Drosophila melanogaster: one gene and its partners. The protein of the gene in region 1 interacts with the protein of each later gene in a pairwise test. Each region holds a gene or a part of one and is shown in the gene's direction. Other genes may lie near its edges. The genes, in order: CG2157, CG32548, fs(1)K10 and mid.

Region 1 (3,904 bases):
AACGCCCCGGGGAAAATGTTACCTGTCTAATCTGGGATTTGGTTCTTCCCTTCGAATGCACTGCGAAAAACAGGTGCGTATACTTCAATGGAAAAGATACAACATGAACTGAGTGATATACAAAGATAGAAAAACTCTTGAATACAATAATGGATTAGAATGGTCTTAAAATTCTGAGATGAAATATGCAACTTAAATGATATTTGAAAAAATCACTATACTAGTTTTGCTCCACATTTTTTTATGCTTTTAACTGGCTCTATCTCAACTGACAAAGTTCTAAATCTGATTTTTGCACCGTGCTTGCTTTTCCTTGATTACTCATACGCCCCGTGTGCGCGGGTTGGCCAAGAAATGGAGGCTACCACTTACCGCGAGATTCACGGGCTGCCCGTGTAATGGGCTTTTAGGCCTCGGCATTAAAGAACCATTGTCTCAGTGGGGTAAGAGCACAAGAAAAGAAAAAAAAAAACGAGAAACTCCCAGGCCATCGCCAAAGTGCACCCATGGCCAAGTCAACTCATAGCAGTCGGCAGTAGCTTCGGTTGCCTCCCTCCATCCATCCCTCCATCTATCCATCCATCCCTCCAACCATCTATCCATCCATACAGTCAGTCGAATCAGTTAACACTTTTCACATGCCCGCCGGGTCGAACAATGTGAACCCACTCATATGGGCGGTATGACAAGCGTATGTATATACTATGTGGCTATCCACAAGCATGGCATCGACAACTATTTTGACATATTTCGTAAATATCCGTGGATAAGTATCGCAATGCTATTGGCACACGTAACTTCAACTGCACAGATACAAGCTACAGTTTTGCAGTTTTGGAAAATGGCAAACGGATATAGATCGTTATGTTCTTAAATGCTACTTTATTATTCAAACACTTGCTAAAGTTATTATTAAAGTTATTTGAAACATCTGAGTACTTTTTAGTTTCTTGTACTAAACTCTATAGATTAAATGTACTTAAATGTGGAATACCCCTGAATTTATGCTAAAACTATCGCCCAGATTGGTAGAACCTAATTCAGTCCATTCAACCCAATCGAAGTTACGACTCCAATCCGTTAGGTTTTTTAGAAAATGTGTCAGCAATGTTGGTTGGAATGGGGATACTTAGCTTAGGCACTTGGCCAAAAAGCCTCTAAGAAATTAACAATTGCCACCTTTGTTGGCGAAATTCAAGCATTCAGATCCGCCTGGCTCTTCTTCTCTGCGATGTTTTGTTAACAATTTCAGTTGGCTTAAATAAGCGCTGGAAAGTGAAAACCCAATTCGATACTGTTGTTCATGAAATGAGTCACGTACTAGCCGCAATATTTATCTATCTAACTAAATCGTTTCAACTGGACTCGCATGATTGCTGTTACGTTTTTTTTTTAAACTTTGTTTTCAAAGCTGCAATCGTTGGGCATTTTCGCGTTTTATGTTGACCAATTAGCTGTTTCAGGGTCAAGTTAATGATTCAATTAGCATTTGTCATCATTGTTATTGCTTCTCCTGAGCGGCGGCGGTATAATTGATCCCCCAGATCGTGGGAATATTCATAATGATGTGTGATCACACATCAACACGCCCAACCAGCTTTTCATAAGTAGATCATTCGAAAGGTATTGTTTTCTTCAAGAAAAGAGTTAAGATTATAAATATGTATTTAATATACAATATTAGCAATCTAAGTTGATCCAGAGTTGTTCCATAAATGGGTTAAGTAGAGCTCATCTGATTCTGGAAACTATCTAATCCAGGATATAAATTCAATCTAATATGTTTGATGATTAAGCCAAGACCCATCAGCATACACGTTGTCCAGTGGCATGCGTCATACATACATAGGTGGCAAGCAAGGCGACACGAATCTCTGGGATGCAACAGTTGCGTCCAACTTCGCGGCTCGAGTTCGCTGGGATTGGAAGTGGGCTCGGCGGGTATAAAAGCGACTGCCGGCCCGGTGGGGAATCATTAGACAAGTGTCGAACGGCGCGTGCGCATCATAGTCTTGAAGGAGCAGTTAGCCACCAGAAAGCAGTGAACACCACAAACCGGCAGCCACAACATGAAGTGCTTTGTAAGGACTCGCCAAAGGATCTCTCGTGGATTATAATTTCCCAAAAACTAGAAAATGATTTAAAAAACACAGTTCGTTAAAGTGAATAATAAGTTTTGAAAGCATTGTATTCCAAATGCTTGATGTTCATTGTTAAATTATAAAGTGTATTTAAATTTTAGTTTAAAGTTGATACATATTTTTTACATTTTTTTTATTACATTTTTGAATATGTTTTATGTTGCTTTTGAGAATTTGTTAAACAAAATACTATTGTTAAAAAGTACTTTTCACTTTATTGAAATATGTTTTAAGTGGTAATCTTTTGAATATGATACATTTTGGTGACGCTTTATCCTCGCGCAGTTTATCCTGATAGCAACCAGTCTGGTGCTGAGTGCCTATGCCCAGGACGCGGCGGATTCTGACCTGGAGCAGGTGGCATCCGCATCGGCACCGGATGCGGTGGCCGTGGAGGATCAGGTGAGCGCCGCCAGCAGCTATGCCCCGCTGCAGGATAAGAAGCAGGAGAAGCGCTATGTTGGTGGATACGGTGGCTACGGAGCGGGCTACGGCGCGGGATACGGCGGCTATGGCGCCGGATATGGCGCAGGATACGGCGGCTATGCCTCTGGCCTGGGAGCCGGCTATGGAGGAGCGTACGGCAGTGGCGTCGGCGTTGGCGTGGACAGCTACTACAATCCGTACAGCTCGCGAGCTCTGGGTGGATTAGGTGAGGGTGAGCTTGAAAGAAGACTCTCAATCTCTTGCCGAAGACTCGTAGTATACCAACGCTGTTTCTCAATCCCCAGATGGTGCTGCAGTGGCCGGATACGGAGGCTATGGATCCACTCTGGGCGGCTATGGATCCGCTTTGGGTGGCTATGGATCCGCTCTTGGTGGCTATGGATCGGGACTTAGTGGTTATGGTGGCTCCTACAACTCGAATCCATACGCCCTGTCATACTACAACAGCAGGCTGGGCGCTGGAGCCGGCACTGGGTATCCGTACTACAACACCCGATTCGGCGCTGGTGGCTATCCATCCAGTTACTATACGAGCAACTATGGCAACAGCGTGGTGGGCGGCGGCTTGGGCGCTTTGGGCGGAGTGCCGCCCATCGGATCGGGCTATAACTACGGTTCCGGAATCTCGGGAACCGTCTACTAGACACCGCACGGTCCAACGTTCAAGATCTAAGCTAGTGGAATTTATTTTTTTTCATCGATATATTTTTTTCTAACTTTATTTTTATTAAAAGATGCTACAAAAAAATACATTATCATAATCGTCATTTAACTAGAAAGTATATATTTATATATGCATGTAATCTCATTGGGGCGATGGATATGCGCCATGCTTGTCCTTGATCACCCAGAAGGAGTCGACAATGGCGCCGTTCTGGTCATCGGACACCTGCTCGAAGTGAAGATGCGTGCCATTATGTGCCTTCAAGCGGGTGTATCCGTAATCCTAAAGAGATTATAGAATTATAGTATTCCGTTTTGATATTAAGCAGGTCATTCAATTACATTGCTATGGTAGGCATTCCAGATGGGCAAATCGTTGGAGAAGGGCTCGCGCTCCTCCTTGCAGCCGGCGGAACCCGTGATGATCTGGATGGGCGCCTTGGGATTAGTGTATGGCGCCTCGGCACTGCCATTGTACACCTTGTAGTCGTAGATTGGCCACAGGCGAGTGTAGAAGTGTTCATGCGCAAAGATCTCCACGTCGACGCCGTGCTTGTAGAACAGATCCTCCAGGCCGAACCACTTGAGCATGGGCAGACCCTGGCGAATGTACGTCTCCAGTTGGCTATTGCAATCGTACTCCTTGTCGTCGC
Region 2 (6,974 bases), 7.6 Mb from region 1:
CTCCTTCTTTTTTGCATAATTTGCGCTGTTTATTTTGATGGCTTATGGTGGGGTAATCGTAAAACGACAAGCATTTCATTCGGAAAAGTCAACTTTAATGGAGAAAACACGCCCGGACGGAAACGGAAAGTACGACCCCACATGGATAGATAGGACCCAAGCCCCAAGGAATGCAGCCGGAGTGAAAGGAGAAGTTATGGCCATTACCCCGGGGCACATTAAGTTAGGAACTCGGTTTGGGTCACTTTATTGGGGTAATGCGGGTCAGCAGGCACACAAACACACAGACAGACAGGCAGACAGTCGGGGACAGACAACTTTCAATCGTGTGAAATGCGCTTTCAATTACACGCCGCATAATGAAATGCGCAAATAAATTTATGACGATCACGTATCACGTATACGCAACGGTGGCAGGTAAGCGCGCGCTTAAGTGACCATTACGCACTAACCACCACCAGGTCTTTGCTGCTTTCATAATAATCGTTGCCCTGCCAACGGGCCAAATCTCATTGGGCCATCAAAACTGCATTCCAATTGAGCCGATTTTTCGCTTCTTACTCTGGCCTTAACCCCGCTTCCGTATCTTGGTGGCTAAAGCCATTCGTACACAGCGACAAAAGCCCACTAGTCTTCTCACTTCATCATGCTCTGCGTTTAGAGAACGATGGGTCTGAAGGCGCACTCGTTTTCGCACCGTGTAGCCGGCATTTGCAAGTTTCGCTTTTCGGACATATCGCGCATTCCGGGCACGTTCCTATAAACAACGTTTTATGCCGGTGTTTATGTTTAGTTTGCCGTTCGCCCAGCGGGGGCGGATTGTTATGTAAGTGCCAAAGAGCATATTCAATTTGAATTGGAATTGGAATTGCCATCTACATCTACACCCTCCACTGCACACTCCTCCCCGCCGTTGTTATTGCTTATTCCATATTCCGCAGGCAGACACCAAAGTTTAAAGAAAGTTATCCACGCAAAATGTGAAACAAAACAATGCGGGTGAAAATTAAAATAAAATATATATCGAAATTGAAATTATGGAAAATTATATTAAACGCGACAGGGTAGGGCAGCTTTGTCAAAAAAAAAGAAAAAAACTTGAAGGCACAGCAGTTCAATTGGATTACATTAGATATCTTGGATTTCAGGCAACGATTTCGAATAGAAGCTATAATACTTTCCAACTGCACAGAGAAAATCAAATGACACCTTTTAAAAAATAATCTAATGGATGATTAGATTGAACCTATTATTGAGAAGTTAACTTCGTGAAATATTTCGCTCTAATGATAAACTGAAGTCATTATTCTATAAGTGTTATTAAAATATGATTTTTCAGGTGCTTCATAAACCGAAAATTGAGACTATTATTATCTTCAAATTTGGTTCAACTATTATTTACTTCACTTTATTCACACATTTAAGACGTAAAGAGTACAACATTTTTTGGGCCAAACTTTATGGCCAAAATATGTATGCATGTACGCTGTTTTTGGGGCCAAAAACTGAAGTGGCAGAGGCAGAGAGCCAAGCGTGGACATTCCCCAATCGAAGGCGGTATAAAATCGGTGGACAGTCGGCGGGCGCTGCACAGTCAACCATCGACGTTCGCGAGTCGCGTCCGCTTAGCTGATAACGATCCATAGTCCGATTGCACGGTTGCTCGGACATACTGCCAAATCAACGGGAGACGAAGTCGAGTTCCAATACCAGGCCATCCAGCCATCCAGCCATCAACCATCCATTAGCCTCACCACGTAAATCATGTTCGCATTGGCCTTGACGGTGGCGGCCTTGGTGCTTGCCGGCCAGCAGGAGGTGTGCCGCGCACAGGTCTCCATCCACACGGACGCCAACTCGAACTCCTACAGCCTGAAGACGCCCGGAGTGCAGCAGACCTTCACCCGGTACTACGGAGGAGCGGCCAAGAACCAGCAGGTGGAGCAGCCGCAGCTGCAGCAGCCGCAGGAGCAGGAGCAGTTGGTAAGTACATCACGGCAATGGTGAGGGGTGAATCTACTATTGAAACTCTGGGAAAAGCACATAAAGTTAAACTTGAATTTTAAAATTGCTTAAGAAAACACTGGATAACAATTATACGAGGGAAAAAGTTGCGGACACACTCTTCAATTTAATTTAATATTTAGCCACATGGCGTTGCTTTAGAGTAGTACTATGAATTGGAATTCGAATTGAAATTAACCGCCAAAGTTTTGGATGTTCGATGCTTGTTCGGGTAGAAAGGGCGTTCCATTGAATGTCCCGTCACCATACTCCGAACTTTGTGGGCCCTGCATATTGTTTTCGAAGATCTCCTGCATTTGATCGACGGCGTCCATCACATCAGTGGGCATATTCTGCAGGGAATTTGGGTATCAAGGATATACGATACGAGTACGAAGTATCTTACCTGTGACCAGACGGGCGAAATGCTCCAATGGAGCAGACCTAGACTCAGGATTAAAATAGGCGATGTCATCCTGTGATGGCTTCACTTCCCAATAATTGATTGCCAAGAAGAAAGCCAGCTATTTAACCTGTCACTTTCTAGTTATTCTGCTTAATTACGCGAAAAACAGATATGTTTTCATGTTTACATAATCTAGATGCAACATCTAGCATCTGGTTTAGTTAGCATGCGAGGTTGTTATTGGCAATTAGCTTAGTGGCTTACAGATCTAATTAAACCAGAGATGAAAAAATCTCATTTTTGTTGGTTGGAAAAGCATTTTAAGCCGAATCATTCAGTGCCTAATTGGTTATCATCCGCAGATGTATACCATATTACTTAGTATTGTCATTTTGTAGTATTCAAAAAATAATTATAAATACCCGCTTGGAAATGTACCTAAATCAAAAGCAATCAAGTTGGCTTTCAACGGATGATATTTCCCAAATCAAATGAATGTTTTAAATTCTTTGCTACGCTTTATTTGCTCGAAACGAAAGTAAAACGCCCATTTCAGCGGTTAGAAAATACTTCATTGGGTGAATCGAGATCCGTGGTGTCGGAGAAAAGGTTCTTGAGTTCCTCAAAGTAGTTCTTAAACGAGTCCACCATCGCGTTCCAGGCTTGGGTTATATTTTGTCCAAACTCCCGCGCCGCATCGCCGATCCGCTTGTCCAGCCTTGGATCGTCGGGATAGACCAAATGCGGTCGCACATCGTCGTACTCGTTGGAGTAGTCCAGATCGAACTCGTCGGCCCAAGTTTGGGCCACCAGAGCGAGGGTCAGGGCCACGATTAGTAGGGCAGAGAATCTGGGTCCGGAAATCATTTGGCCAACTGTTGTGCCCAGCCACCTGAATGCGCCTTTTGTACCCAGCCTTTTTAATTCAATCAGATTTCGACCAGACACGGAAATGTTCGAAATGCATGTCGAGATGCATCTCATCTGGCCCGGAAGTGCCCACTGACCGTTGGCTCATCGTGACTCGGCTCGTTTCCGTATCTCCCATCTGGACAGCCTTCAGTAGTCGAGTTGCTGTGGTGACCCCAATGGCCTTCTCCTCGGACCACTTTCGATCGGATTGCTCAGAAATGACAGTTCGCTTTTTGCTTTATTGCCTCTGCCTGAGGAATCTTTATCGATTGGGGGTGACTCTTCGGCGGTGACCTTTTTAAAGAGCAACAAATAAGGTTGAGTTCTTAAAGGTATGCCACTTTAAAATGGTAACCGGATTCCAAGTTTTGGGTCACCTTGGTGATATGTTTAGTTGAGCTCACAAGCATTTGTAGTTTAAAGACGGAGTACACGTTTTTTTTGACTCTAATGCCGTTTGGGGTCACCTTTTACCAAAGGTGATTGGCCTTAATTGGCTACTACATTGATAATATGATGGGGTCTTAAAATGGATGTAATCTATAGTACATATTTGAATGAAGACGTAATCGTAATGTTTTTGGCCAACCCAGAAAACATGCCGCTCAACACAGTTTCCGGTTTTCAGTTGATTTTATTGCACTTATAAACAAACAAAAAAAATACACTCGATGGTGGTCGTCAGGGAGCTCGGTGATTCTACGCCGTGGAGTTGGCCGTTTCGGTGATCTTCTGGCGCACCTGCTGCACCACATCCGCTACGTTGTTCACAAACGAAAGCCACATGGCCTTGATTCTGGTGCCCAGGCCCAAGGGATCCGCTCCGTCCATATTCTGTGTCACTTCCATGCCCTTCTCCTCCTGCCGTCGTCGTCGCACCAACTTCTTGTTCTTTTTGCCAGTGGTCTTGGGACTCACTCGGGATCGGGAGGCATTGTTGGCGGCCCGCTTTTGAGCTCGTCTCCGTCTGGCCTCCACGTCATCGTCGGCGGACGCCGCTGTGGTGGCGGCAGCGCTCATTTTCCAGAAGCAAGGAGCGCGTTTGAGGCGATGCAGGCTCCGCCGCCTTCGCTTCCGACGACGATCCTCCTCGGATGAATCGGTGGCAATGGGACGTATGGCATCTCCATAGCCAACGGCCGTTTTCGAGTGCACGGACATCAGGGGATTGTCAATGTCGACGTCGCGGGAGATGGCGGCGCCACTCTGAACTGCCTCCGCTATATTTCCGGCCAGAGACATGGCGCCCATGCCCAGCGACTCTAGCGGATTCTGTGGACCTGGCCTGGCCGCAATCATGGCCAGACCCGCGACAACCAGGAGAAGTGCCAGCTGATGGCGATTCATCGTTTCTAACTGTAAGGTTGCGGCATTGCATCCGCGCTTTTTAAGCCATCGAATCGCGTGATTCCCTTCGATACATATCGATTTGAATCCACACCATGGCACCGATGGCTAGTAGAGATCACAGTAGGCTTTCGGATTGGCCCGACGACAGCTGTCAGGTGTCACCGGACTGGTTGAGCTATCCAGTCAGTATCACTTGCTCGCTCAGTCGGTTCAGATCGGTTCGTTTTACAATTTTTCCCGCTACAGACTTCGTAAACAAATTGTATCAAAATCTGAATTTGAAAATCAATTTTTGGCTATCCACACTCGAGCTACACAACCTCTCGTCAAAACTTTTAAGTTTACATCGCGACAAACGGAACAACAGGGAATCATGAGATCCAGCAAAGTTCGTGGGGGCAACGCCAGTCGATTGGCTGACGCGGAGGGACAGTGGGGAAAGGGATGCCTGGGTTCCCAGCACTCAATTATCAAGAATCACGGGCGTGGCCTTTCATCCGTGAGTAAAGGAAAGCGTGTTATAAGCTCAATTGTATGAATATTTTACAAAACGAAATCAAAAGTTACACATCGAAAACGGCCTACTACTTGCGCACATTAGACACTCATCTAAATATCATTTAAGCCAGTTCAGAATAAGGATAAAATTGTCCTGGTTTAGCTTCCATTCTCATCCGTTTATTCCTCTAACCTATGCAGCAAACTCCCACGCAATTTGGTGGATTCTCGCCGTCGGGACAGCAGTATCCTGCCGTGTACTCGCAGCCAGGATTCCGGGCCGATGGTAAGCTGAAGGTCACGCCCAACTCGCTGCTCCAGCAGCAGCAACAGCAGCAACAGCAGCAACAGCAGCAACAGCAGCAACAGCAGCAACAGCAGCAACAGCAGCTCCTGGCGCAGCAGCAGCAGCAACTCCTGGCCGCCACATCGCCGCAGGTAGCAGCTGCATCCGGACCAGGAGTGGGCGTTAGCGGTGGCGTGGTCAACATGCCCAGCTATGCGGACCAGATGCACGCCGCCTTCCTCGATTATCAGCGCCAACGAGCCGAGTTCGAGCAGCAGCAGCAGCACCTGCTGCAGAAGCTCTACCACTACTATCCCGATGTATCCGGCGGCCTAACATCACCGGCTCATCAGATTCAACCCCAAACCCCCCAGATAGCTGCTCCCGCCGATGTGGGAGGCGCTCCGGCGGGCGTGGCAGCACAGAACGCAGCTGGCCGCTTCGCCTACCGTCGGCCGCAGTTCAGCAACAATGGCCTGCAGCCCGAGCGCCTTGCATCCGGATCCATTGTGCCCGGAGGTCCAGTAAGAGGAGGTCCAGTTGGAGTCATCCCGGGAGGAGTGATCGGATCAGCGCCTTTGCGCTCCAACAGTCTGGGAGGGGGAGCAAGTGGAGACTTCTACTCCACGCAACAGCACATGGGCTTCATGCAGCAGCAGCAGCAGGACGTGCTCCGTGACCAGCAGCAGTCGGTGGCCCATCAGTTCGCCACCAGCCAGTTGGCGCCCACCACCCGCCAGAGCTATGGGATGGCCGTTCCCATGTCCTCCGTGCTGGGATCCCCCACCTACCAGCAATCGCCGGACGTCTCTCATGTGAGCTTCTCAAGCGGCAATCTCAACTACAGCTTCTAATGATGATGAGCTGTTATTCCAAGGACTTCCAAAACTAGTATTTTCATTTTTTTTTCACACACCTTTTTTTTTGCGTAAATTTTCGTGGTATTTGATAAGAGGAATTGTTTAGGGCAAGCAAGAATAAATTTTGTAAGTGATGATAATTGTTGGTTTTTAGAGGGGTGGATGCATTTCAGGCTTATCAAATGGTGATTATGGCTTACGAAGTTACGAGGGTTAGATTTGCCTGAAGAAGAGTTTGAATGTGCACTTCTGGCCTCGAGTTATGTACTCTAGTTAGTTGCTTAATTAGCCCAAATCCATCCTATATGACCCAACAGCATTTCATTACTAATAAACCATCGGCACGTGCTCCGTGGAATCTAGCTGGTCAGTTAACTGGCCCCACTTACCAGATTCATCATGGCTAATGATGGGTCATTCCTAATCGGCAACGCTCATCTTTAACACGCCGCCGAGCTCACGTGCAATAAATGCATTAATATTGCTTTGAACGGACCGCCTTCGCATTGGCACACAATTGCTGCCATTGAATCTGTTTATAGAGTTAATATAATCCGTCCCATGCCATCGTACATCCCACTGGCGGATCCATTTATCCGAGCAGCCAGTCGCAGTCGCAACGGCGACGGACTTCGATTGTTGGGGTATTATTAGACAT
Region 3 (6,254 bases), 8.6 Mb from region 1:
TTGGTTGACCTCCTGCTGTCCCGTCACAAAAATTAGTATGCCGCCTTCCGGAAGCTTATTATGGATTTTTAAGGTCTTGCGGTAAGCCTCCGCCACATAGTCATCAGGTGTGCGCTTCTGGAAGTGAATAGTCACCGGAAATTGTCGAGCCTCCACTTTAAGCAACGGTGGCGGAATCTTAAACAAGCGAGTATTCTCTGTAAAATCGGATACCCGCAAAGTGGCAGACATAATGATCAGCTTCAGCGGCTGCCCGCGTTTGTGACGCAAGGGCACGATCCTTGACAGGAGACCCACTAGGATGTCTGTGTAAACACTGCGCTCGTGCGCCTCGTCCAGGATGATCACTGAGTACTTACTAAGCAGAAAGTCAGTTTCGATCTCCTTAAGCAACACACCATCTGTCATGAATTTAATGCGCGTCGCTGGTGTTACGTTTCCCTCGAAGCGAATGAGGTATGACACCTCGCTCTCCGGCAGGTTCATCTCGTGGGCCACCCGCTTGGACATGGCAATAGCAGCCACTCGCCGCGGCTCCGTCACTCCAATCATCTTGTGCTGGGCATACCCCGCTTCGTACAGGAACTGCGGTAGCTGGGTAGTCTTTCCAGAGCCAGTCTCACCAGCCACGATCACAATGGGGTTTTCGTTGATTGTCTCCATCACCTGCTGCTCCTCCGCGAGGATAGGCAGTCGAAGACGGGCATTCTGAACTTCTGTTGTCCGATGTACGGGCACATAGACAGTCTGGTGGATACAGGCAGGTGGGTTAGGCTCTGGCTTCAACTTTTTAATGGGTGGTTTAACAGCGATTTGCGGTGGAGCTATAGACACTGGAGTGGGTATGGCAATAGGAGCGGATTGAGCTGGTGCCTCCTCATCGTCCTCATCAGAGGATGAAGAATCTTCGTCATCTTCCTCCACGCTAATTACATTCGGATTCTTTCGCTTGGCCTGTAGTTCCTCCTCCTCTTCGACGAGAAGCTTGCGCTTGGAGCCCTTTATAGCATTTACGCGGAGACCCGACGCCGAGCTTTTTTCAGCTAAAACTTGGGCCTGTCTTTCCTTTTTCTTGGCTAGATACTCGTCAAGGGTGGGTAGACGCTTTAATCCCACGGTTTGCACTTGGCTAATGGAAGTATACTGCTGCAGCTCCTCCTCCGGAATTTGAACGGCAGCAAGGTCACCCAACAGCTGAGCGCGCTAAATTAGAAAAGATTTCAATTAAATATCAGTTTTATATTAGCACTGAATAAAAACCTACACCCTCTTTCTTTTTCTTCTTGTCCACAATAGCCTGGAGGTGCTTGCGCTGCTTCTTGGAAAGGATCTTCACGTGTTGCACTTTGTCCACCTTAATCTTGGTGGCCCGCTTCTCGGAGGGCAGAACCAGAGCGTTGGCCTCATCGTAGCCAACCTGGTTGCCGCCGGCCACAGCATCCACATCGATCTGAATCTGTAGAGTATTGGATTTGGAAAGGGTAAGAAAGCGGATTCGAGTGTGTGGTCCGACGGATGACCTACCTTCTTCACGGCCGAGTTGTCCACAATTGTTTGTGGATTCTGCCGCGCCTTGGCATTGTGCACCTTCTTGCCCATGATTACTTTACTTTACCAATATAGTTAATAAAATAAAGTAACAGAATTAACTTTGGGCAATAATATAAACATTGATTTAAATCACACGTGCGAAGTACGCTTATCGATAACAGCGCAGGCGATAACAAAAGTTGAGATACTCTAAAATGTGCTGTGATGTTACATTTGTGTTAGTGGAAACATACATTAGTGGGAAAAACTGATTGTTATAGTTGTTCACACTCCTTCGACAGCACTGGTATCGAAACGTTATCGCAATCGATTCATCGTAATATTTTCAATATAAGTTTTTGTGACAAATAGGCGTGCAACATTTTAGATCCATCTGCTCCCCGCCTGTCGTTTCGGCTTGGCTCCTCTGCTCGAGTCCTGAACCCCCGTTTTCAGTGAAATCCAGCTACCTGCAATGGTGTCCAAGAACCAATTCTATCAGAACTGGACCATGCAGTCGCAGCAGCAGCACCCGCACCAAATGCAGCAACAGTTTCAGCAACAGCAGCAGCCAAATCTGCAGCACCGCAACAACCAGAGCAACAATAATAATTGCAACAATAATCCCCGCGCAGCTGCGGCTCCGTATAGAAAACCGTTTCGTTCGGGCAAAATTAACTCCGGACCAGGAGGAAATGGGAATGGTAACAGGGTCAACGGTAACAATCAGATGATGTTTTCCTCCAGCCAAATGCCGAGCGATCCCCTGTACATTGACTTCAGCAGCCCGCCACCAGGATTCAAACACAATCAGGTAGGCAGTCCCAAGAAGAAGTCTATGAAGGGCATCAAACAGCAGCAGCATCCCAGTCCGAACCAGCAGCAGCCTCCCAGTCCGAACCAGCAGCAGCATCCCAGTCCGAACCAGCAGCAGCATCCCAGTCCGAACCAGCAGCAGCATCCCAATTCGAACCAGCAGCAGCATCTCAGTCCGAACCAGCAGCAGGGCAAGATGAACAACCAGAACAACAATCATATGAACCAGTCGCAGCAGCCCTTCAACAATCAGATGAACGGAAGCGATTGGCAGCGCCATCCGGGCAACAATCCCAATCAGATTCGCGGTGGCTTTAATGGATTCCAACGCGGGCCGCCTCCGAACCGTCCTCCTCCACGCCTCATGATGGGTCCGCCAATGGGTCCGATGGGCCCCGGACCACGGGGACCCGGACCGATGGGCCCTGGAGGACCTTACCCGCAAATGCCTTTCCCGCCACCGGTGCCTGGTATGCGCGGTCCCGGACCCATGGGCCCCATGGGTGGACCACCACCGCCGCCGCCACCGCTCTTTATGCGTCGCAACGGACCCGGTCCAGGTCCTATGATGGGTGTCCCACCGCCCATGCACATGATGGGTCCACGGATGCCGCCGCGGGGAATTCCACCGGTCGGACCTTATGGACCAATGAACATGAATGGCGGCCGGATAATGAAGCCCAATCCCAAGCTAATCAAGCAGGTGGTGAAAGGCAAGAGCAGCATAAAGACACTAAAGAACCTGATCAATCAGTATCCCATCGAAAAGCCCTGGGTAACGGACGAGATACGCAGCGAGCACGACAAGAAGGTGGACATCGAGAACAGATTGAAGGGCCACAAAGACGACGAGCTCTTCGCTCAGTACAAGGGCCAGCGGGACAAGTTCGTTAGTCTCTACGAAGCGGCGCGGGAAGAGTATCTCAAGCAGGAGGCAGCCACTGTCAAGGCCAAGGTGAGCATATAGAGACCCCCCAACATATCCTTATTCCCTTGGAACAGGTGTCCCATCCGAAGCTCTATTCAGGGAGGCACACCGATTCCGGGTACAGTTTCGGCTTAATCCGGAATCACTTTGCACCCCTGATTTGATCCGTAACCCCCACCCGTCCCTCTTTGTTGCGTTTGCCGGGCGGTAGGAAAAAAATAAGAGAGCAGAGAAAGTGAAAAAGTAAGTCTCAACCTGATGCACTCTCTCGCATTATCCTGCAGTCCTGCGGAAGGTTGTTGTCATATCTATTTTCACCTTCGGTTGTTCCCTTGGCACTGATATATATCCGCAAAAGAGAAACTATTGGCATATATTTACAACCATAGATTTATTAGGAACTGAACAAAATTGTGTAACTATTTAGAACTGCAATACAATGTGTTTACTGCCACCTTGTATACAAATTTAAAAAACTAATAGAATTTTGTACTGTTCGATCGTGGCAGGCGTAGTAGATTCATAAATGCACTCTTAGTAACTTAATATTCTTAATTGAACGAGCCTCAGTACTGAATCCTATGGCTGTTTTCATTTTCCAATTTGGTTGGCATGTGAAAAGCGAACTTAATGAATTTTAAACTGCCAGAACATCAATTTAGTTACTTAATTAGCAGATATAACCCAACTTATGAAACTCATTGCATATGAAATGATAATGATTTGAGTGATTAATGTTCGTGGGCGTAGTTATCTGGAAATAGCCAAGAGAAGTTCGCAGAATGCATTTAATAGCGAAAACAGATCTGAGAGCTCTTTTTACACACTCAACAACCTTGCTATTGAACACCGTTGGCAATTCTCGTATTTCTTTTGCAGGATGCCAAGTCAGACAAAGACAAAAACGCAATTTCAAGTCAGAGCGCAGCCCCTAAGGCCGGAAGCGCTAAAGATGCAACAATTCCAAATCCCTAGGCAGCCAATGCAACCGAATCCGAATACCGAATCAATCGAATCGAACCGACTAAAGAAGAGGTCGGTCGACTCACAGAACTAAATGTAAACTTAAACTTTAAACCAATGAGCAATTCAAAACTAAAACTAACAGCGAGCAACAGCAAGAGTCTGACAATTGAAGACGAATATAACTCAAAACCCCGACTCCTATATCGGATATACGTATACACAATCGTAATCCGAGGAGGCGCCGCCTTTGTCACACGTTGCTTTTGCGACTGAGAACTGAGCTTAGAACGATAATGTAGCAACAAATACAAACCCAGCGATAATAATGTGGGCGAAACTCTAGTAATAGCGATAAAAATTTAGATTGCGAATCGATTCACTTGTCTAACGTAACCTAGCGTAACGTAAAGTAGAGTATTGAAATGTAACCGTAACGTAACGTAACGTACCAGTTTCCTATTCGAAAACTATTTGTTGTTCAATTCTAAGTTGCAGCCATTTCAAGTATGTGTACACAATTTATGACACGCCCTTACCTATATATGTATGCATATATATTGATATATATATATATATAAATTATTTTCCTATTCGTTGCCCGAGTGCGTGGGCGCGACATAATTGAAACAGAGTGGCCGGATCCTAAGCACTCTGGCATAAATCACACTGTAGGCCTTAGATTACACCACTTGATTGTATTTTTAAATTAATTCTTAAAAACTACAAATTAAGATCACTCTGTGAACGTGTGCTCGATGGTGTGCATCTACGGATTTGTTTTTGTGTTCTTTTTCCCCACCCAACCCCGTCCCTGACCCAATTCCGCTGTTCTCTTTACCGACTTGTAGATTAATCACGCTCTTGATCTTCATGACCGGATCCACCTGACAAGTAACGCCAAAGCAGCCCCACTTAGCGGAATAGTAGAGCCTAGGGGACCCAACGTAAAAACTCTAGTATAGCACCAATCTCCCAACCAGTTAACATTATACCTAAACCCATGGTCAAGAGTAAACATTTCTGCCTTTGAAGTTGAGAACACAATTAAGCATCCCCTGGTTAAACCTGACATTCATACTTGTTAATAGCGCCATAAACATAGCACCAATTTCGAAGAAATCAGTTAAAAGCAATTAGCAATTAGCAATTAGCAATAACTCTGCTGACTTCAAAACGAGAAGAGTTACAAGTATTTGTAAGGCACAGTTTATAGACCACCGACGGCTCGTTAGGGCTCGTCATGTAACTAAGCGCGGTGAAACCCAATTGAACATATAGTGGAATTATTATTATCAATGGGGAATATTTAACCCTCAGGTAGCAAAGTAATTTAATTGCAAATAGAGAGTCCTAAGACTAAATAATATATTTAAAAATCTGGCCCTTTGACCTTGCTTGTCAGGTGCATTTGGGTTCAATCGTAAGTTGCTTCTATATAAACACTTTCCCCATCCCCGCAATAATGAAGAATACCGCAGAATAAAGAGAGATTTGCAACAAAAAATAAAGGCATTGCGAAAACTTTTTATGGGGGATCATTACACTCGGGCCTACGGTTACAATTCCCAGCCACTTAAGCGACAAGTTTGGCCAACAATCCATCTAATAGCTAATAGCGCAATCACTGGTAATCGCAAGAGTATATAGGCAATAGAACCCATGGATTTGCCCAAAGGTAACCGAGACAATGGAGAAGCAAGAGGATTTCAAACTGAACACCCACAGTGCTGTGTACTACCACTGGCGCGTTTGGGAGCTCACTGGCCTGATGCGTCCTCCGGGCGTTTCAAGCCTGCTTTACGTGGTATACTCCATTACGGTCAACTTGGTGGTCACCGTGCTGTTTCCCTTGAGCTTGCTGGCCAGGCTGCTGTTCACCACCAACATGGCCGGATTGTGCGAGAACCTGACCATAACTATTACCGATATTGTGGCCAATTTGAAGTTTGCGAATGTGTACATGGTGAGGAAGCAGCTCCATGAGATTCGCTCTCTCCTAAGGCTCATGGACGCT
Region 4 (7,845 bases), on another chromosome or scaffold:
TTTTTCAGATCGACCGCCCTTTGTTTTCACAACTTGTGTTTTCCTTGGCTTTTGACATTTTGGTGACATACGGGACTGCCACCTAAAAAGACACACATGTAGATGCACAGACAAGGCCAACATATTAGGAACATAGGCTCTTTTTATGAAAGGAAGTGTAAACCTTTTTCTAGAATCAAAGTATGCACTCTACTTTTTAGAACCAGCGTTCTTGTGTCATAAAATTGTATTTAAAGTTATCCCAATCTATAATGCTATCGTCCGTTTTGCTTTTGAATTTGTTAATGCTGATAAAACATTTTATAGCTATCAACTTAACTGCAATTGTAACCAGAACACACACGACGCATCCCTCCCCGTCCACTTTCACCATTTCTCCCAGGGCGAAAGTGTCAAAGTGACATGCCCACTTTGTCGCTACCCGACTTAAAAAATGTCTCAAATTACAAAAATCACACAACAAGACGGTTTGTTCCTCGCACAGGATAAGCGGGATTAGTCAGCTTGTTAGTTAGTTTGGATCTCCGCGTTCCGTTTTTCAGGATCGCAGGATTTCCGTCATGGCAATTGGCAATCCGAGCAATACGTAATGAATGTGACGAACTGTCAGTTGTTTCGAGTTTCCTTGTCGCAGCCGCATTTTCTTTGCATTTTTTAGCGGGTTAATTGGCACTGACAAAGGTCTTGACTTTTGCCTGGGAAACATAACAATTTGTTGACATCTGTAAATATTATGGGGGAATTTTCCAGAGGACTAGCTTCTATCATACAGCGTGTGGAATTGTATATAATTACTAACGGAAAAATATCCCTGTTAACTTTTTGAATCGCCATAATCTAAATTTCATGATCATATCCTCTTGAATATAAAAAAATATAGCTTTACAAATAAAAATGTCTTGACTAATGCTTATAGATATACTATGTTTTCAAATGGACTTCTATAATATGTACTAAGCGAATTGTTTAAAATATGTTCTTCCCTTTACCGAAATAAATTCAAATTGCATATACATTTTAAATAAACTTGTAGTTATTTTCGCACTCTTTATTCATGTTTTTAGAGCACAGAAAAATTTCTCGAGCTCAAACTAATAAATTCCCAACGTCCCATTGCAATAACCTTGACTCAAGGTCCATGTCCTTGCAGATAAATAAGAAAGGAAAAACAACGGGATGCAACTGCAGAAAAAAAACAGAGACATAAAACTCACTCAAAACAGAATTGAGTGAGACACGGAACGTGTTGGAAACGAAATGGAACAGACGGAAGATGGAAGAAAACGTCAGAAGAGGAGATAACAGGAAATGGAATGCGACGACAACGGCGAAAAGTTGTTTAAAAAAAAAGACCAAGAAAAACCGCAAGCAAAACGTTGGCACTTCATAAATGGGCGAGAAAGAGAGGCAAAAATAAAAAGAAAGAGACCTCGCTATGGAGAAATAGAGAGGTGCGAGGGAGAAGGCCAAAAGCGCCGACATTTTTAATTGTAAATGAGTTATGACGCGTTCGTCAGAGAGAGAGGTGAGGCGAAGAAAAGAGAGGGGCGCAAGTTGCTGACAGCGCCGCCTTTCTCTCTGTCGCACGTTCACTCCCCCGCCGATTTTCCAATTGGAAAACGAGAGAGCGAGTGGCGTTTTCACTCAGAGTGTGCGGCTATAGGGCTATCCCGCTTGCACTCGTACTGGCGCGGCTCGCTGTAGGGTGGTCTCGCTTGCACACATAGGGACCATAAGAGGAATAACTGGTTTCCCGAGTTTTGCGCCTGCCGTCGTTTTTGGCTTCTCAGCGGCAACATTTTCCTGACACAATTCAGTTCGTCGTCGCCTGCCTTCCGTTGCGCACACACTCAGTCCGCGAGATTCTCAGTTCGCGTGCGCCAAAGATAAGCAAAAGAAAGCAAGAGAGATATAAAGATACAAGATACTTACACCTTGAAACATACACATACCCCTCGAGTTACCAAAGCTAAAGATGCATCTAGCTTTATAAGTGCCAAGTGTTGAAAAGTGACCAGATACAATACCCCAATACCTTTCCAAGGTATTCCCTAGTTAAAGCCCCATTAAGAACAACATCATACCCTTCAAAATGCTGGTTGGATCTCATCCGTATTTGTGCAACGGGGTGCCCGCCGCCCCTGCAGCACCAAATGCCAGTGGACAGACAACAACAACGGCTAGCAAAAGTGCCGCCGGCTCAGCGACGGACTTTTCCATCGCCGCCATCATGGCTCGCGAAGATGCCTCCAGTCGGGAGTCCTCCATTCGCAGTGCAAGTAAGTTCAGATACATATTGAAAATATCCTTAATAAGAAAGGAATTCTGTGGGAAGCGGCAGAATCATTAATCGGTTGATAGGAACAATTTGTTCTTAAAAATATATTTTTATGCATTAGAAATTTAATGCCTTGAATATTAAGCATTTCGATTATATAGTGATTTTTAAACAAGATTTTTTTAGGCTTAACAGACTTACAGCAAGATTCATTGATGAGATGTAGAATATCTTTAAGATACTTTCATTTCTGTAGTCTCAAATACCATAGGGTACTTTTGTTTAGAACTTCATTTGACAAGCTATAAGTTCCCTAATTCAACAATCTTTAATCATAGTAGGTAGTTGTAACTTTAGATATTCACTTATCTCCTAGCAGTGCTTTCTGTACAAAAACTTACTTAACATACCAGCACACAATAACTAGAAATTGCTAAAACAAAAATGGAATTTTTATACGATTAATTCAAATTAAACGTGATTAACAACTCAACGCCCAAGAAGAGAACCGCAAACTTGACCAGCGAATGCAAACATTATTAGCCACAAGACAATCGCTAATTGATTGCACAACAAATCTATTAAATTACTGTTGTCGCTTTGGGTGCGCAGAGTTCCATTTAATTGCTAATGACAATTAGCAGGCGTTCCGGCCACGTTAAAAAAGAAAAAACTAGTTCTCTCTGGCCGACGGCATTCGCAATTAAGTCGAGCCAAAGATCGCGAATCCAGATATTTGTTAGCAAACACTTGCAGCGCTCTTTTGTGGCCGATATTATGATAATATGCAAATTGTGCACAGCATCTAATCGCGCGGAATTCATATTTAACAAAGGCTGCTAATTATGTTAATTAATTTTCAACAATGTGCTTCATTTTATTAATTTTACGAGGCGCAGAAAATTAGCGACGGCCGAAATCAAAACAAAAACGCTACGAGGTGTTCGTATTTTACGATCTCTTTATCAAATATGCAGCTTTTTTAATTTCATATTTTGTTTTGTTTTTTTTGTTTTCTGTGGTCGCTTTCCGTTTTCCGTTTGCTTACTTTGCATTTTAACACCTACCGTCTGGGCTCACCTGCAAAAAAACCGGGCTGCTTAGTTCTCCCCATCATTTTGTTACCATTTTCGGCTTATGGAAAATGGAAAGCGTATGTGAGAGTTCGCCCATGGATAAGCCCAAAAATATTATTCATCAACTTTTGCGCACACACCTTGAACGAAAGCCCTCCGCTTTTGTTTATGCAATGGAAAAGAGCAATCGCAGCTAGAGTTTCGGGCTGTTTAATTGCCGATTTGTGTTCAGTTTGACAATTAAGCCAGCGGTCGTCGTCGCACTGTCTCATTGCAATTGAAACGCGAAGCGAAGCGGAAACTCCAAGAATATGAGACGACTCCACGCTGTCTGCCGCGAAATCAGCTCCACCACTCAATGTTGTCAACGGAAGCACGGCCTCGGTTTTTGGCCAAATGCACAACGGAAAAATCGTTAATAAGACGCACAAGTTATGAAGGAAAAAGTGATGAAAAATTCAGGAAACATTGTGATCTTTAAAGTGTTTAGTGCCAAATATATTGAAGGCTTCAATTTAGAGATTTTACTTAACGCTTTTTCCCATGTGCATTGCATTTTAATTTGCATTACCTCCAAAACGAACGGTGTAATTCAGATTTAATTTTCAATTTTCGCTTTTTCCTCTCGTGTCATTTAAGGTCCCATTTCGGTGGAGGATGAGGTTGACGTTGATGTGGTCGACTGCAGCGATGCCGAGGAGCCACCGACTAAGGCGCGTCGTTTGAACCATCATCAGCACCACCAGCATCACCAGCACCACCACAATAACAACAATAACAACAACAACAACAATGTGGCACACAAGAGTCGCAACAGCGGTGGCGCCGTGGCACAAACAGCTTCCGCCGAATCCCAACTGAACACCAGCTCGACCAGCAGCCAAGGACGCTGCTCCACACCGCCCCAATCCCCGGGAACGGAGGACAGCGAGGAGCGTTTAACACCGGAACCGGTGCAGAAGGCACCCAAAATTGTCGGCTCCTGCAATTGCGACGATCTGAAGCCGGTGCAGTGCCATCTGGAGACCAAAGAGCTGTGGGATCGCTTTCACGATCTCGGCACCGAGATGATCATCACCAAAACGGGCAGGTAAGCATCCAAACCAGCAACAAGCCATCCATCCATCCAGCCATCCATCCAACCATCAGTCAGTCAGTCGAGTTTAGTGCAAACAGGCATTAGTTTTAAATGGTGGAGCAACGTGGGAGATTTTGGGAGGTAAAAGTTGCTGCCAAATGGCATTACCCAAACATATACTCTTTTCACAAAATATTTTGCATTCATCACTTTTCCGCAAAACTTCTTTATTGAACAATCAAGTGTCTGCGTGTTCAATCATCAAAGATGTTCACCCTAAGTCAGTTGCCCATAAATTGGCTCGCCAAATGGTTTTTGCAGTGTCAACAAAAATTTCATGCCATTTGAGTGAATGTGTGGGGTCTATTTCCTCCAAAAGGGAAACTGTGCAAAAAAAAAGGAAACATTTGTGTACCTGCGCAGGAAGAAAATGAGAAAATCAGAGCTATGGGCGTTGCTGTTGTCAGCGGGAGAATGGGAACAAGTTCAATCCAAATGACCACGGGTTGTCCACACCTTTGCTCCCACACACCTGACCACACGCACACAGGTCACACATATAGATAGATATATATACACCTTAATGATATTGTAAAAATCACACCTCGGAGTCGCAGACATCAGGGCGGTCCCCGATGCCCGCCTTTGGCCTTTTTGGCCGGAGGTTATGTCACCGGGTTTTGGAGGGACATTAAACCACAGGATGTAGACAAGAGGGATACACAGGTTTGTGACTCAAAAAATGAAGGAAGAGTTTCGCTTTTGTCTTCATTGTCTGCACTTGTCAAAGCAGGGAGAATCGAAAAGGAAAATATGGGAAAAAATCAGCTTGAAGCCCCAGTGTCTGGGCCATAAATAGTCGACTTAACTAGCTGTGTGGCAATAGCAATCCCCAAAAAAAGGGAGCATTCAATGAAAGCAAAAATCTAATCGAATTAATTTAACTTTGTTACCTCTTCCAGACGCATGTTCCCCACTGTGCGCGTCAGTTTCTCGGGTCCGCTGAGGCAAATCCAGCCCGCCGATCGCTACGCCGTCCTCATGGACATCATCCCCATGGACTCGAAGCGGTATCGGTACGCCTACCATCGCTCCGCATGGCTGGTGGCCGGCAAGGCCGACCCCGCCCCCCCAGCACGCCTCTACGCCCATCCTGACAGTCCCTTCAGCTGCGAGGCGCTCCGCAAACAAGTTATCTCCTTCGAGAAGGTGAAGCTGACTAATAACGAAATGGATAAGAACGGACAGGTGAGTTGACTTGAGATACCGAGACGCTGTGGTACTGAGATACTCAGATGCGCAGATACTCGGCTGCTGAGACATTCAGATGCTGAGGTAGCGATTAGCCGCGAGTGCTAAATAATTGATAATTTTGCAACACGAAGAAATATTCGCCAAGTTGCGAGTCTAGAGACCATCGTTGATTAATGTTGCTTTGCTGTGAAAATGGAAAATGTTCGTGTTCAATTCAAGAAGTGAATTTTAGGACAATATACTTCTATCTAATTTATGAAAAGTTTTAAAGAATATTAAAGATAACTTTCAATCATTTAAGCACTTTCCTAATTCCCAGCTATGTAAATTTCAATCGACTTACTACAATGAAACCTTTTCCCTCTTTTCTATTCCCTTCCAGATCGTTTTGAACTCGATGCATCGCTACCAGCCCAGAATTCATTTGGTGCGTTTGAGCCATGGACAGAGCATTCCGTCGAATCCCAAGGAATTGCAGGACTTGGATCACAAGACCTACGTATTCCCGGAAACCGTATTCACCGCGGTGACGGCCTATCAGAATCAGCTGATCACCAAGCTGAAGATCGATTCGAATCCGTTCGCCAAGGGCTTCCGCGACTCCTCCCGCCTCACCGACTTCGATCGCGATCCGATGGAGGCGCTGCTCCTGGAGCAGCAGCTCCGCTCGCCACTGCGCCTCTTTCCCGATCCGCTGATGCAACAGTTTGCCGCTCAGGGTGATCCCTCCTCGATGGCGCTGTTCGAGAAGGCACGCCAGCATCTGCAAATGTTTGGCGGCAACTCCCCCTATGCCCAGCTGATGATGCCGCAAATGTACCAAGCGGCAGCAGCGGCAGCCGGACCACCTCCGCCACCCCCCGGCCTGGGCGCCTTCCACATGTTCCAGCAGCAGTGGCCCCAACTTACCGCCGGCTTTTTGGCCAGCGCCAATCAGCAAGCTGCCGCCGCTCAAGCCGCCGCTCAGGCCCAAGCGCAGGCGCAGGCGGCAGCCGCAGCGATGGCCGCCAACCGGACGCCCCCACCCCCGCCCACTGCATCCACGCCCTCGTCGACGTCGTCGGGATCGCCGTCGCCCGATATGCGACCGCGCCAGTATCAGCGGTTCAGTCCGTACCAACTGCCAGGCGGTCAGGGGCCACCCTCCTCTGCCGCCGGTTCGCCACCCGCGGTAAACGCCTCACGCAGCCCCGCCCACTAAGTTAACAGCCCACGCCACCAAGTTCTTGCCACGAGCAGTATTAAAAAGTGAAAGCACTGGGGTTAAAGGTCGTCTCTTAAATGCAAAAAAGTTCCTGGAATACTAAGAAAATACTTTAAAAAAAAACGTAAAAAAAAAATCGTCAAAAAGTTTTTAATACAATATTTTGCTTTCCGATATGATTTCTTATAAAAAAGATCGTTTCTGGCAAATATTACTGCTGAGTTTCTTTTCAGTCAATGAAATTGCTTAAACTTTAGCTTTATTTTTCAATTTAGACGACCTTTAAGCCCAGTGAAAACTACACAAAAAAGGTTAGCCATCTTTTTGAATGTTGTAAATTATTTGTTGTTTATATGAAGGCAAAGAAAAACTTTTCTCTATTTGTTGTAAAAATCTTAAATTATGTATAAGCTGTACAGTTCTTCTCACTTTCCCCTAGACAATTTTTGTAATCTAGTTTAACTTATTGTACAAATGTTTAAATGTTGTTCGAAAACTCATCTCAGTGTAAAGTTAGAACGAAATTCACTCAAAAACTAAGCAAAACAAAAAAATATACATATACATAAATAAAACGCTGCACGATTGTAAACTATATATAGCTATGTAGTGTAAGCATAAATCGTTAGTAATGCTATTATATATAATGATATATTCATAGTATTAACAGTAAATTCATAGACGCTTCAGTTAGTTATATTTATCCGGCGAAAACGTAAAGATTTATTTAGCATAAATTAAAGGAGAGTAAAACCATAATATGTATTCAATGTGAACGCTAAAAAAAGTGAAAACACGAAAAATATTTAAACAAAAATTATTAAACGAAAAATATGAAGAAAAAAAAACACAAACATACAAAAACCAATCAAAAATAAATAAAAATATGTGAACCAAAACTAGCAACGTTTTTTTAATTGGAATTTTTATTCGATATTTGAACAGATAGATCTGA

Evidence for each region.
Region 2: the proteins of CG2157 (region 1) and CG32548 interact in a two-hybrid assay, tested with the Drosophila melanogaster proteins (one large-scale study listed by BioGRID).
Region 3: the proteins of CG2157 (region 1) and fs(1)K10 interact in a two-hybrid assay, tested with the Drosophila melanogaster proteins (one large-scale study listed by BioGRID).
Region 4: the proteins of CG2157 (region 1) and mid interact in a two-hybrid assay, tested with the Drosophila melanogaster proteins (one large-scale study listed by BioGRID).

The regions. Positions count from the first base shown.
Region 1 is NC_004354.4:10,867,311-10,871,214, forward strand, and holds CG2157 (uncharacterized protein), read left to right. Parts: upstream 1-1,973; 5' UTR 1,974-2,069; coding exon 2,070-2,081; intron 2,082-2,426; coding exon 2,427-2,799; intron 2,800-2,872; coding exon 2,873-3,231; 3' UTR 3,232-3,393; downstream 3,394-3,904.
Region 2 is NC_004354.4:18,435,199-18,442,172, reverse strand, and holds CG32548 (uncharacterized protein), read left to right. Parts: upstream 1-1,591; 5' UTR 1,592-1,764; coding exon 1,765-1,983; intron 1,984-2,096; exon of another isoform or gene 2,097-2,198; coding exon of another isoform or gene 2,199-2,357; intron 2,358-2,410; coding exon of another isoform or gene 2,411-2,479; exon of another isoform or gene 2,480-2,506; intron 2,507-2,912; exon of another isoform or gene 2,913-2,962; coding exon of another isoform or gene 2,963-3,277; exon of another isoform or gene 3,278-3,305; intron 3,306-3,939; exon of another isoform or gene 3,940-4,021; coding exon of another isoform or gene 4,022-4,669; exon of another isoform or gene 4,670-4,683; intron 4,684-4,872; exon of another isoform or gene 4,873-5,045; coding exon of another isoform or gene 5,046-5,171; intron 5,172-5,371; coding exon 5,372-6,310; 3' UTR 6,311-6,454; downstream 6,455-6,974. Other genes in the region: CG43841 (uncharacterized protein), read right to left, coding at 2,199-2,357, 2,411-2,479; CG32551 (uncharacterized protein), read right to left, coding at 2,963-3,277; CG6290 (uncharacterized protein), read right to left, coding at 4,022-4,669.
Region 3 is NC_004354.4:2,240,304-2,246,557, forward strand, and holds fs(1)K10 (female sterile (1) K10), read left to right. Parts: upstream 1-1,834; 5' UTR 1,835-2,005; coding exon 2,006-3,301; intron 3,302-4,153; coding exon 4,154-4,249; 3' UTR 4,250-5,738; downstream 5,739-6,254. Other genes in the region: kz (kurz), read right to left, coding at 1-1,203, 1,265-1,456, 1,525-1,599; Or2a (odorant receptor 2a), read left to right, coding at 5,928-6,254. UniProt on the Drosophila melanogaster protein: May be involved in localization of sqd to the oocyte during oogenesis.
Region 4 is NT_033779.5:5,459,826-5,467,670, forward strand, and holds mid (midline), read left to right. Parts: upstream 1-1,813; 5' UTR 1,814-2,092; coding exon 2,093-2,279; intron 2,280-3,993; coding exon 3,994-4,444; intron 4,445-5,394; coding exon 5,395-5,680; intron 5,681-6,068; coding exon 6,069-6,887; 3' UTR 6,888-7,785; downstream 7,786-7,845.